Sus scrofa: one gene and its partners. The protein of the gene in region 2 interacts with the protein of the main gene of each other region in a pairwise test. Links are inferred from orthologs where the notes say so. Each region holds a gene or a part of one and is shown on either strand. Other genes may lie near its edges.

Region 1 (3,643 bases), on a different chromosome or scaffold from region 2:
TGCATTGCTCGTTGGTGGGCAAGTCTTAGTGACGTCAACATTGATTATACCATTTCCTTCCACGGGATAGTATGTACTGCTCCTCAGTTAAACATCGTAAGTTTCACATTTCCTTAACTTTTAACGTCAGTTATTTGTGTTGTTATGAAGTGATTTCAGTGCTTGGATTTAAATTTTAATGGGGAAATGACCTATGATTCTAAAAGAACACTAGTCCTTGTTATGGGTGCTTATAAACTGCATTGGACACATTTATTTTAGGTTAAAGTATTGTTTAAAAATGCAGTTTATTTTCAGTGATGTTTGAGCAACTCATGTGATAACTATCCTTTGTAGCATGCATCAGAGGGAATCAACCGTTTTGATGTTCAGTCCTCCCTGAAATATGAAGATCTGGCTCCCTGCATAACTTTGAAGAGCTGGGTCCAAACGCTACGGTATCTTAACTGTCTTAGGGCTGCAGATGTTGGGTATTGCTGTGGGGGAGGCGGGGGGAGGGGATCTCTTCCCTCTTTGGAAAGGGTCTTTTTTTAATCCTGTGAAGACTGGAGCTGAAAACTCAGTTCATGACTTTGCAGCCCAGGAGGCCTAGCAGGTCTCCGAGAGGCAGCCCCAGCCCCAGCCCCAGCCCCAGCTTCAAGCCTTCAGTGACACACATATACAGCCCTTGGCATGGCGCCTGGCAGGACCCTCCTGCGTGAGGGCAGGAACATCTGTGGACAAAACCTGACCTTCAGCACTGTTAGGGATGAGTGCCCTAGTGTTGGGATCTGATAATGTCAGGACTTCTAGTTGACAATTGAAAATGCTTTTATCATGAAAAGATTACCTTTAGGAGTTTGTGCTGTGGCTCATCAGGTTAGGAGCCCAGCTAGTGTCCAGGGGGGTCCAGCATTGCCATGGGCTGTGGAGTGGGTTGCAGACACAGCTCGGATTTGGCGTTGCTGTGGCAGTGGCATAGGCCGGCCACTGCAGCTCCGATTTGACCCCTAGCCTGGGAGCTTCCATGTGCCCCAGGCGCGGCCCTAGAGAGAAAAAAGGAGAAGAAGAAGAAGATTACCTTTGTAATACTGTAAAATTGAGCACTATGTATTGCTGTGGTTCTGTCAATAAAGAATTACGTTGATGTTAATGATTAAAATATTATAGCATGTACTGCAGAGTGACAGTGTCCATTTGTCACTTACTGTGATATGTTACAGATTTTGCTGATTATAGTTTTGTCTCATTTAAGTGAACTCTTGAATCTTATGCAATTGTCTGATTACAGTCCACTGAGTGCAAAAACAAAGCCTTTAGGATCAAGAGATGTTTTGCCAAATAATCGTCAGCTCTATGAGATGATCCTGACATACAACTTTCATCAAGTAAGTGTTTGTATAACCAAGTATACCCTAAAAAGATAAATAAATAAAGTATATGTACCCTTATAATCACCTTTGTTTTATGATTCATAAAATCCAAAAATGAAAGAATAGTGTATTTAGTGTTTGTATACACACATATATGACATAGAATCAAGTAATTAACACTGATTAACATAATTATTCTGGAGTTCCCATCGTGGCTCAGTGGTTAACGAACCTGACTAGGAACCATGAGGTTGTGGGTTTGATCCCTGGCCTCGCTCAGTGGGTTAAGGATCTGGCATTGCCGTGAGCTGTGGTGTAGGTCACAGACGCAGCTCAGATCTGGCGTGGCTGTGGCTGTGGCGTGGGCTGGCAGCTGTAGCTCCAATTGGACCTCTAGCCTGGGAACCTCCATATGCTGCAGGTGTGGCCCTTAAAAGCCAAAAAAAGAAAAAAGAAAAAAAAAAAAAAGAAACCGCATAAACCACGTCAAGTAATCAGTCTTATTCTTTTACAGCCCAAGAGTGGGGAGGTCACTCCAAGCTGCCCCCTGCTTTGTGAATTATTATACGAGTCAGAATTTGACAGCCAGCTGTGGATTATATTTGACCAGAACAAAAGACAGATGGGTTCCGGCGATGCCTATCCTCATCAGGTATCAAGTGGGCAGTGACTCAGAATTAACAGAACTAGTACACTGCAGGTGGTTGGTGGGGTAACGTCCCTGGTTTGAAATGCTGGTGTGGCTGTGCACTTGGTGCATGGAGCCGCTGCTCGTGGCCCAGCCGTCTGCTGTAGAACAACCATGACGGCTTCTCAGCCTACAGTTCGGCTGAATCAGGCGCTGGGCTCGAGGAGCGCCAGGGTCACGCTCGCAGGTGCTGGCCGGCAGAGCTTTTATTTTTAGTATTTCTCCTTCTTACCCGGTGCTTGTTCCCATCTGATCGCTGAAAGCAAATCACCCTGATATATGAGTACCTCGATGCGATCCCATGACTGAACTGGGTCCAGAACAAGGCGACCCTGCCAGGTGTCTACAGTTTATTAGAACTTTGAAATATATTTCTTCTTGGTCAGCTGTGTAGTGAGCACTTAGTGTATGCCAGGCACTGTGCCTGTCACTGTTGTGTTGAAGGGAAAAACAAATCTTTTAATCATGTAATTTATAGAAATCTTATCCCTGATTAAAGTGTTATGACAGAAATGAGGTATTTCCTGTGACATTCACAATTTTATGCTAAATAATAGAAGTAATTTATGCAGAGTGTTTTTAGTTAGTCGTTCGATGAATAATTTCCTTTTTTCCTCAAAGCGAGGCCCAGTCATGTCTCCTCAGTACAGACTGGATTATTACAGTGCCATTACTACTTTGGTTGCTTTTAAGATCTTGGGAGAAACTGCTGTTGCAGAATACAGTGTTCCATCCTCTTGAGCAGGTTAACTAGACGGAGCTTGGTGGATTTGTATTCCTTGATCCCCACTGGCTCCCTCTTTCCTGTCTGCAGCAGAGGGGTGTGGCATTTTGATTATAATCCAAAGCCTATCAGTCATATGTGTGTGTATGTTGGTCTTGGATACACAGCACCTTAGTTTTGCTAATTTTTGGTGGTGTTTTATACGTGTCCATGAAGACCCCTGAACTAGAAAATCTTTGCCTTTATCAGTCTTGAGCAGACAGGGATTTAGCTTGGCGTGTAGGAGTGAGTAGCCTGTTGTGGGACGAATGAGGGCTTGGGAGCCAGAGCTGCCTTCAGCCCCCTTATCTACTCTGTACGTGACCTTGGCCAGGTTACCTGACACCCCAGGTCCTGCTTGCTTCCCTGCAGTCGAGACCACGTGCATGTAGAAGTAGGTGTAGTAACTGGCCCTGAACCTCATGTACCGTAAGCAGCCTGTAAGTGGTAATTCTTACTGTTTATCCTCTGACTGTAATTTTCACTTACCCAGCTAAACTCTTCCCAAATGTTTTCTCTTTTGTAGTATTCTTTGAAACTGGAGAAAGGAGATTATACAATTCGACTACAGATTCGTCATGAGCAAATCAGTGATTTGGAGCGTCTTAAAGATCTTCCGTTTATTGTTTCTCATAGGTTGTCTAATACCTTGAGCTTAGATATTCATGAAAATCATAGCCTTGCACTTCTAGGGAAGAAGAAATCAAGTAACTTGACATTGCCACCCAAATATAACCAGCCGTTCTTTGTTACTTCCTTACCTGATGACAAGTAAGTGATGGTAACATTGCTTATACTCGCTGTCCGTCTTCTGCTCTGATCTCAGAATGCTAGTTCATT
Region 2 (3,643 bases):
GGCTACCCCTTGAGGTCACCGGCCACCAGGCGTCAGGGGCTGAAGAAGCAGGGACAGACCTGGGGCTCTGTGAGGCAGGCAGACCTCTGGGGTCTGAGCCGGGTGAGGGGCCGGGGCCGGGGCCGTGGATGGCCTGGGGCTCAGCCCCACTCACCTTCCTCCAGGTCGTTGCGGGCAGCTGCCTCCAGAAGGGCAACGCTGGGAGGGAAGAGGACCCGCTTCTGCCGCCTGCCACCGGCTGCCTCCTCCTGCGACCGCTCCTTCTGGCCCTTCCTACCCTGGGCCTCCTTCTCAGCCTGGGCCCACATCTTCACCTGCTGGGCGCGTCGCTTCTGGGCATGCTTCAGCCGCTCCTGTGTGCTCATCCTGGCCACCACAGGCATCTCTGCCAGAAGCTCCAGGTGCTCGGCCATGGCGGGGGCTGCCTGGCAAGTGGGCTGCTGGGGGCACCAGACGGGGGAGTGCGGGGACCAGGCTGGGCCTGAGGGGTGGGGCAGCTGGCTGGACGGGTACCCGTGGGGGCATCCCCTCCCCAAGCCTGGGTGCCTTCTGCCCCTGGCAAGGCTGGGTCAGGAGGCCCCACCCCGTCACTAGGCCTGGGCAGTCATGAGGGGCACAGGCCCTGGGCAGAGAGGGCAGCGTGGGCGGGCACCTGCAGCCTGCTTCCCAGGGCCCTGGCACAGCGGCTGCTCAGCGGGCAGGGCCTCCCCGGGTCAGGGTGCACAGCCTGTGGTTAAGAGTCCGGGACCTGGCTGGCCTTGGTCCAGGGTCTGAAGCTAATTACCTAGATAACAAAGTGGCAGCTCCTAGGCGCCTCGCTGAGGTGGAGGGAGGCCAGGGCAATGGGCAGAGGACCCTGGGCTCCTAAAAGCTCCCCTTGCCTTCCAGGCCTCAGGAGCCTGGGTGGGCTCTGGGGGCAGCCATGGCTGGCCTTCCCGCGGTGCCCCCAGCCTTCCTGGGGTCAGTGCTAGTGAGGCGGTGTGGCTGGAGGGGGAGCTGGGTGGCCTGGGCGGGGGTGTATTCGGAGGTCCTGGCCCCAGTGCCGGGGAGAGGCTCTAAGCAGCCAGAGAGCGAGGGTACGGTGGGCACTGTGTCTTCAGGACAGCCTCCCTGACAGCAGGTGCTGCCAACGGCCTGAGAAGAGGAAGGAGAAAGCTGTCAGGGCAGGGCCCCAGCCTGCATGAGGCTCGCCCTGCTGGCCAGAGCACCGCTGCAGGACGCTCGGGCAGAGGGGAGGGGGCTTGCTCTGCCCCCATTCTTTTCTTTTTAGGGGCACACCCGTGGCCATGTGGAGGTTCCCAGGCTAGGGGTGGAATTGGAGCCACGGCTGTTGGCCTACAGCACAGCCACAGCATCTCGGGATCCTTAACCCACTGAGCGAGGCCAGGGATCAAACCCTCATCCTCATGGATACTAGTCAGCTTCATAACCCGCTGAGCCACAGTGGGAACTCCTGCTCTGCCGCCATTCTGCTTCACGCCGTCAGTGTTCCCAGAAAGGGGTCTGCAGGCTCTGCAGCTGAGAGGGGGGCACTGCCAGCAGCCCTCAGGTCCTGGCTTGGCCCTGTCCCCACAGCACCTCTGACCTGGCAGTCACCTTCTCCCCGGGCTCTCCTGACACTGCCCAGAGGGGCCTCCTGGCATCTTAGCTGCTGAGGGAGGAGGCGCAGCCTGTCCTGACCTGCACCCAGTGCCTCGCCACCCGAGTCTGGGCCTCGTCTGCGCTGGGCTTTCTAGCTCAGGCCGGTTGCTGCCTCAGCCATCTTGGGCTGGAACCCAGGCCCTGGCTGGGTGAGCACAGGCCCAGGTGCCTGCCTGCCTCAGGATCTGTCAGAACAGACAGGCAGCTAGGCTGAGGCGCAGCCCCGCAGTCCCCCCACCCCCACCTCCCGTGGCCTGTCCTGCCCAGCACCCCGGGTGTGATCACTAGGCGGCCGCAGGCCCCCCCTCAGGAAGCCATGGCCCTGTCCACCTAGAAGACCCACCTGCAGCCCAGCCTGCGTCCCTGGAGCCCCCTTCCCACCATCAGACCTTGGGGCCATCGGTGCTCCTCCTGAGCCTTCCTTGGGCCAGACCTCACTCGGGGACCTCATTGAGCACCCCTTCTTTCTGGAAGGGACTGCCCTGCTCCAGATCAGGTCAGGTCAGGTGTCTCTAGCTCCAAGACCCCCCGTACTGGGCTGGGGTGGGGGGCTTTACAATCTGCCCCGGCCTGTCTGTCCCCTCTGCAGGCCTGGCCTCAGAGGCTTCCTGGGGCGAGGAAGTGCCTCCAGGCAGCACTCGCTCGGGACAGCCTGTCCCCAGCTGGCTGCCTCTGCACATCACTGGGGCCGTGGTGGACACTGCCACCCAGACGGGCTGCCCGGATCCCAAGTACTGCCTTTGCCCTCTGGCCATGAGGACGGCCATGGGTGCCAGGCCACACGGGCGTGGCAGAGCTCCCGCCCCCCACAAGGATCTCCTTGCCTCCTGGCCACTCACGGGCTCCCTCACTTTCCCTGGCGGGGAGCTGGCCTGCCCTCCAGCCCACTCAGGGGTCTGTCCTCTCTATGGAGGCAGCATCTGGGCCTGCCAGGGGAGCCAGCCCGAACGGCCTGCCTTGAGACCACACAGAAGGAGCAAAGCACGCTGCCCTCTGCCCAGTGCCAGCCCCGCCTATGACCCCTTCTCCAGCCATTCGGGGAAGGCAACCCATGGAGGAGGCCACCCCGCACTCAGGCCGAGGCTCCCCAGCAAAGTGGGGTCCCAGGGCCTCAGGGACTAGTTTCACTTCTCCCAGATGAGCACCAGTGACACAGCCACAGCCCGACTTTGTTAATTTAGCAAGATTTAGGGGACATAACCCACACTATCGTTTTATGAGAGAAAAGCGGTTCTGGTATCCGCATCCTACAGAAAACCTAGAGTAACCGCCAGCTTGTTGAGCAGAACAGACGCTGTCTTTTCTAGCTGTTGTGCTTTGTCCCTTTGAAGGCCACCCATGAAAATCCCTCTCAGGGGGGATCCGAGAGCTGCCTCGAGCAGGCTGGCCAGCCCCAGGCCCTGCCCCGTGGCCGCACTGGGAGGACAGGGCTCCGGCTCCAGACCCTCTGCCTGCAGGCCCCACGCCCCGGGCAGTACACCCAGGAGGCGGGTGTCCTGCTGGGCGCAGGCCTCTGCTCTGGTGGGTCTGCCTTCCCGAAGGCCCCGACCCGCTCTGGGCCCGGTCAGCAGCACTCCTTGCTGGGAGATGCCAGAGGGGGCCCCTGTGTGACCTTGGGTGGGTCCCTTGGGCTGCTGGACAGCCTCCTCTGAGAGAGAGGTGACCCTGGGGGGGCCCAGGACCCCACTGCCGTGGGCAACCCATCCTGCAACACTCTCCATGGAAGGCGTGACCCAGCTCCCCCAAGGCTGAACCCCAAGCTCTCGTGCCCCCGAGCTGCTCCCCGAGTGCCGCCTCCTCCTGGGCACCTGGTCCAGGAACAGCCCCAGAGCTGGAACACTCACCCTCAGCTGCGCCCCAGGCCGGGACAGCGCTGGGCGTCTCAGCAGCCGACCACCGTGCCCCGCGCGGGCCGAGGGGGGCCGGCCGGGGTGGCGACGGCCTCCGTCCGCAATTCCTGCCCCAAGCCTCCGAGGCAATCGGCGATTTTCCCAGTTCTCAG
Region 3 (4,417 bases), on a different chromosome or scaffold from region 2:
GGCTCAAGCTGCAGTGTAGGTCACAGATGCGCTCAGATCTGACATTGCTGTTGCTGTAGCATAAGCCAGCTGCTGCAGCTCTGATTTGACCCCTAGCCTGGGAACTTCGATATGCCCTAAAAAGCAAAAATAAACAAATAAATAAATAAAGCAACGCCAGAGCACATAAAAAGATCTCATCAATGTCAGCTATTACTAGCAATAGGTGAGCGGGAGCAGCACTGCCTTGAGCTTGAGACAGCATCTTGTTTGATTTTTGTGGACAAACACCTGAGGAATGAGTAAAGATTTCCCATCTGACCACCTCTGAGAACGGGCCAAAAAACTCTCGCTTACCTAGAAGCTTTGCGTGGCTACTCTTTCTCCTGTATTTCTAGAGGCAGAATTATGTGGTAGAAAGACGAGGTGAACAACGAACTGTTCTGAGCCTCTGTGCTTCCTTGTCCCTCTCTTCCGCGTACCAGATACTTAGTGGGAACTGCAGGCACAAAGATAAATTTAGTTTACCCTATAGCAGCTCACAGTAGAGTGTAGGAGATAAAAATGCAACAACAATTATAAGATACGATGATGAAGCAATATAATGAAGGTATTTTTTTCTTGCTCAAAAATACACTGTGGAAAAACAGTAAGCTATGTGAAAGCGCTCTGTAGAGAGCAGAAAGCAGTTCCCACGTAAAACATTATTACTGCTGACCCTCAGGGCCCAATTTAATTTATTTCATCTAGGAACACCAGGGCAACCAACCTTGTGGAACCGTAGGGTAAAAATCCCTCATTTGCAATGTCAAGCTTTTCCAGCAGAGTAACCCCATTCTTGCTTCCCAAACGCGCAAATCCAGTTTCAAACATGGGTAATGCAGTCTGTGTTTCCCGCCTAACAAGACCCGGGAATTGGCTTGCAACACCAGGATTGAAACCAAGAAAAGAAAGGCGAGGCGGGAAGAGCACAAGAACTACGTCGTCTGCTGAGCGCCCAGCCTCAGGGAGCTGGGAAGCGGAAGGTCAGCCCTGCCTACGCGCGCCCTGCGTAATGGGAGCTTTCCCAGAGCATCAAACCCCCGGGAGCCTTGAGGGCGCCTGCGCAGCCGCGACGATTCGGCGCAGTGGAAGTGGAGAGGGAAGGCGACGCACCTGCGCAAAGGCGGCGACGCGGCGGCGGCAGAACCGAGTCTAGTGCGATTGCGCCGCGGCTGGCGGACGGGGGGGGCGCCGCGAAGGAGTGCGCCGTGCGGCTGCGCGGAGGCCTGCGTGGCGCGGTGGCGGGGAAGGGCGGTGTGGAGTGAGTGGCGCTGCGGGTGGGGCCGTCGGCGGCGCTGGTGAGCTTTGCGGAGTTGGGCGGTGCCGAGGAGGAGGAGGTGGCGGCTGGGTCTGACGCGGCCCGGTTCGTGGGGGCTCCGCTTGTTTATTTATTTATTTATCGTGTGTGCCTCCGAGTGTGCGGCGCTCCACTACTTGGTGGGGAGGGGGTGGGGGAGGGCCTGGGGGAAGGGGGAGTTGGAACCGGGGTCGAAACGCCGCGTGACTTGTAGGTGAGGGAACGCCGAGCGGTCGCCGCAGCCTCTGCCGCCGAGAAGCCCTTGTTCCCGCGGCCGGGAAGGAGCGTCTAGTGCCGACAAGATGGCGGACGGGGAGCTGAACGTGGACAGTCTCATCACCCGACTGCTGGAGGGTGAGTCGGGGCCTGGCCGGCCGCGGAGAGGGGAGGTTCCCTCAGCCCTGCTTCCTCCTCCGCCAACCGGAGCGGGCGGGAACCCCCTTTCCCGCCCCAGGGCGGCCGCCGAGGAGCGGGCTAAGAAGCTGGTGGGCCGGAGGAAGCGGGCTCCGGGAACACGGCCCGGGGTTGGGGTGGGGGGGTGGGGGTGAGGCGGGCGAGAGGGGCTGACCCCGCGGGCGGGCAGTGCCCCTGCGGACCTACGGGGACCCGCACAGCGGCGCGCCGAACGCGGGTAGAGGAGCCCCGGGCTGCTGGGTGACCCTTCCCAAAGAGGGTGCCAGGATGCGTGCTCTTGTGCTTTGTATGCCGGTGGAAAGTGTATTCCTTCTCTGTTCTCTTTGTGCCTTGCCCTTGGCTGCCTCCGATTCTTGTTCTGGGAGTGGATTTTATAAAACCTTCTCCTTGAGAAAACTGTTTGATCTGTTCTGCATTTTTTACTTGATGCTTCCAGGACCAGCTCTATTTAAGGAGAAGATGGAGTTGAGTAGCTTTCATTTATTATTTAGCTTTAAAAATGAGTAAAACAAAAGTATTTGAGCGAGCTGAAGATGCACGCAAGAAATACGAAATATGTAGACATGTTTACTGAAGCGCTTGGTTTTCGGGTTTGAGAATTTAACAGGTTTGAGCAGGCTTTAAATTCTGCATAAACTTAGAAAAGGTCGATTGTCAAGCTTCGCTTGTGTTTAAAAGATATTTACAAGTCTTCACAGCTTTTGAAGTTTCTGGGCCCTTCTGTTTTTATTGGATAGTTTTATGTTAGGGTAAAGAGAAGAGATGGAGCGGCCAGGATGTTACTCAAAGTCAATCGCGATTTTCTGCCAGTGAATCCCTTTGCCCTGAAGTTTGCGTCATCGCTAAACTGCTTTTAGAGTGTGTAGAAAAGAAACTAAGCTATTAAAAGAAAAAAATGTAGAGTCCTCTCTCAGAAAGCGTGGAAGGGTTGCATGTGCATTGTTACTTGCTTTCAAATTTCCTGAAGATAAGTGTTTGGTACAGTGAAGCAGTGTGTGCTTACATTTGGAAAATCTTCACAGAAGATTATATGTTTGAGGGGCGGCGGAGAGGGCGCTAGTTCTTTTTTATCCGCCCATGTGTGTATCTCTTCAGTTCTGTGTGTACCGTTGTGTAACAAACTACAGTATATTTGTTCCAGATGTGCAAGCGTTCCAGCAGTCTAAGACTGAGTAAAAAGCCTTCCTGCAGTCGTAAGACTGAATAAGGAGCAAAGTTTTACAGGGAACTCTTGTTTGCCTTTCCTTTTGCTATCAAGTTATTCTTGGGAGGCCCCCTGGTGCCTACAGTCCGTGTTCACTGTTAAAGACTGCGGATTTTAACAGATGTGAACATCTTACTGGGTCCACGAGACGTTTGCTTTGGGGGAAACATTTTGTTTGTGTGTGTGTAGCTGTGCGTTATTCTAAGGGGGAAATACAGCTATGTAAAATTTTTAGTGTCTTGTTAACTTTGAGGGATATTTATGCCCACCACCAACTGGTACAAAAAACTTTTATACGTTTTAAACTTAGCTTGTAAAATTGAAATATTTGAAAATCCGATGCTTGTTATCTCAACTTCCTCACTTTTATTTTCCATATATTTACATATTTATATACTTAATAGACATAAAACACAGTAGACTTAAGTGTTTTGAAATATTTAACAGGGGGCCTTTTGTCAGATGCACCTTTTTATGATTTAATTAAGAAACTTCACTAGTGGATTTTTCAGGGGTTTTTAGAAAAAAGGTATCATGGGGGAAATAGGCTAAGTAATTTGTTTCTGTGAATTCAAATTACATGAATATTCGGCTCTGGTTTCAGATGATTTCTTTCTTCCCTTCCTTTTTTTTCCCCTCCCTTTCTTTCCTTCTTTCTTGATTTCTAGTCCAGACATTTTCTCCTTTTAAATTAGCAAACATTTATTGACCTGCTTTGTGCCAGTCACCAGGAATCCAAAGATAAGAGACAATCTCTTCACTCAGGGAACTCCCAAATCCAAACAAGGGACTTTTCCGGCTTTTTTAGCCTGCTCTTGGGCAGTGAAGAATGTCATTACTTGCTTCTTAATCCCAGGAAGTATATTTAGTTTTGACAGTGCCTCCCTGGGATTCTTAAATTCTTCAGGCTTCTCTTATTCCCCTTTCCAAAATCTAGACCTATTCAAAGACATCCAAAAACTGGCTTGGATTTTCTAATAAGTAATTATTTTTAGTCTTCAAATAAAATCTTTTTTGTCTGCCTTGATTTTCAGTGATGTTACATGCTAACTAAATTTAACTCAAATTCAAGTAAAGCTGCCTAGCAGAATAGCTGTAGGTGGTGTTGTTGTTTTTAGTATTAAATGAAAGTACAAATTAAAATTTGCCCTAAATTTCTCTGCATTGGGGCAGAAATCAACAGAACACTTTAAAATGTTTTTTGTAGTTCCACAATGCATTCTTGACTTTTTAAAAAATTATGTCATATTGGCAGTCAGCTACAAAACTTGTAGTAATCTTTTGAGTTGCTTTGTGTTTTTTAGATGGGCAAATTATGTAAATTTTCAGTATCTTTTACATTTAAATGTTTTATTATTTAATGCAAAACAGTGTACTAATTTATTGTTTGGATAATGCATATTCTTCTAGTGTATTTTCTTGGAGTAAGTTTTACTTACTAAGAAGCCAAAGATGCTTGTCACTTTGTCCCCTTTAGTGAT

What was found.
Region 1: the proteins of PPP1R16A (region 2) and TPP2 interact in binary tests that used the Homo sapiens proteins (3 or more experiments, as listed by UniProt). The two-hybrid records come from large-scale screens. The link is inferred for Sus scrofa from reciprocal best matches to the Homo sapiens genes PPP1R16A and TPP2.
Region 3: the proteins of PPP1R16A (region 2) and PPP1CB interact in binary tests that used the Homo sapiens proteins (3 or more experiments, as listed by UniProt). The two-hybrid records come from large-scale screens. The link is inferred for Sus scrofa from reciprocal best matches to the Homo sapiens genes PPP1R16A and PPP1CB.

What each region holds. Positions count from the first base shown.
Region 1 is NC_010453.5:70,984,628-70,988,270, forward strand, and holds part of TPP2 (tripeptidyl-peptidase 2), read left to right. Parts: coding exon 1-96; intron 97-336; coding exon 337-437; intron 438-1,270; coding exon 1,271-1,367; intron 1,368-1,866; coding exon 1,867-2,004; intron 2,005-3,329; coding exon 3,330-3,574; intron 3,575-3,643. UniProt on the Homo sapiens protein: Cytosolic tripeptidyl-peptidase that releases N-terminal tripeptides from polypeptides and is a component of the proteolytic cascade acting downstream of the 26S proteasome in the ubiquitin-proteasome pathway.
Region 2 is NC_010446.5:306,521-310,163, forward strand, and holds part of PPP1R16A (protein phosphatase 1 regulatory subunit 16A), read right to left. Parts: exon of another isoform or gene 3,486-3,643; intron 1,135-3,485; 5' UTR 414-1,134; coding exon 155-413; intron 1-154. UniProt on the Homo sapiens protein: Inhibits protein phosphatase 1 activity toward phosphorylase, myosin light chain and myosin substrates.
Region 3 is NC_010445.4:110,471,580-110,475,996, reverse strand, and holds the start of PPP1CB (serine/threonine-protein phosphatase PP1-beta catalytic subunit), read left to right. Parts: upstream 1-1,608; 5' UTR 1,609-1,620; coding exon 1,621-1,672; intron 1,673-4,417. UniProt on the Homo sapiens protein: Protein phosphatase that associates with over 200 regulatory proteins to form highly specific holoenzymes which dephosphorylate hundreds of biological targets.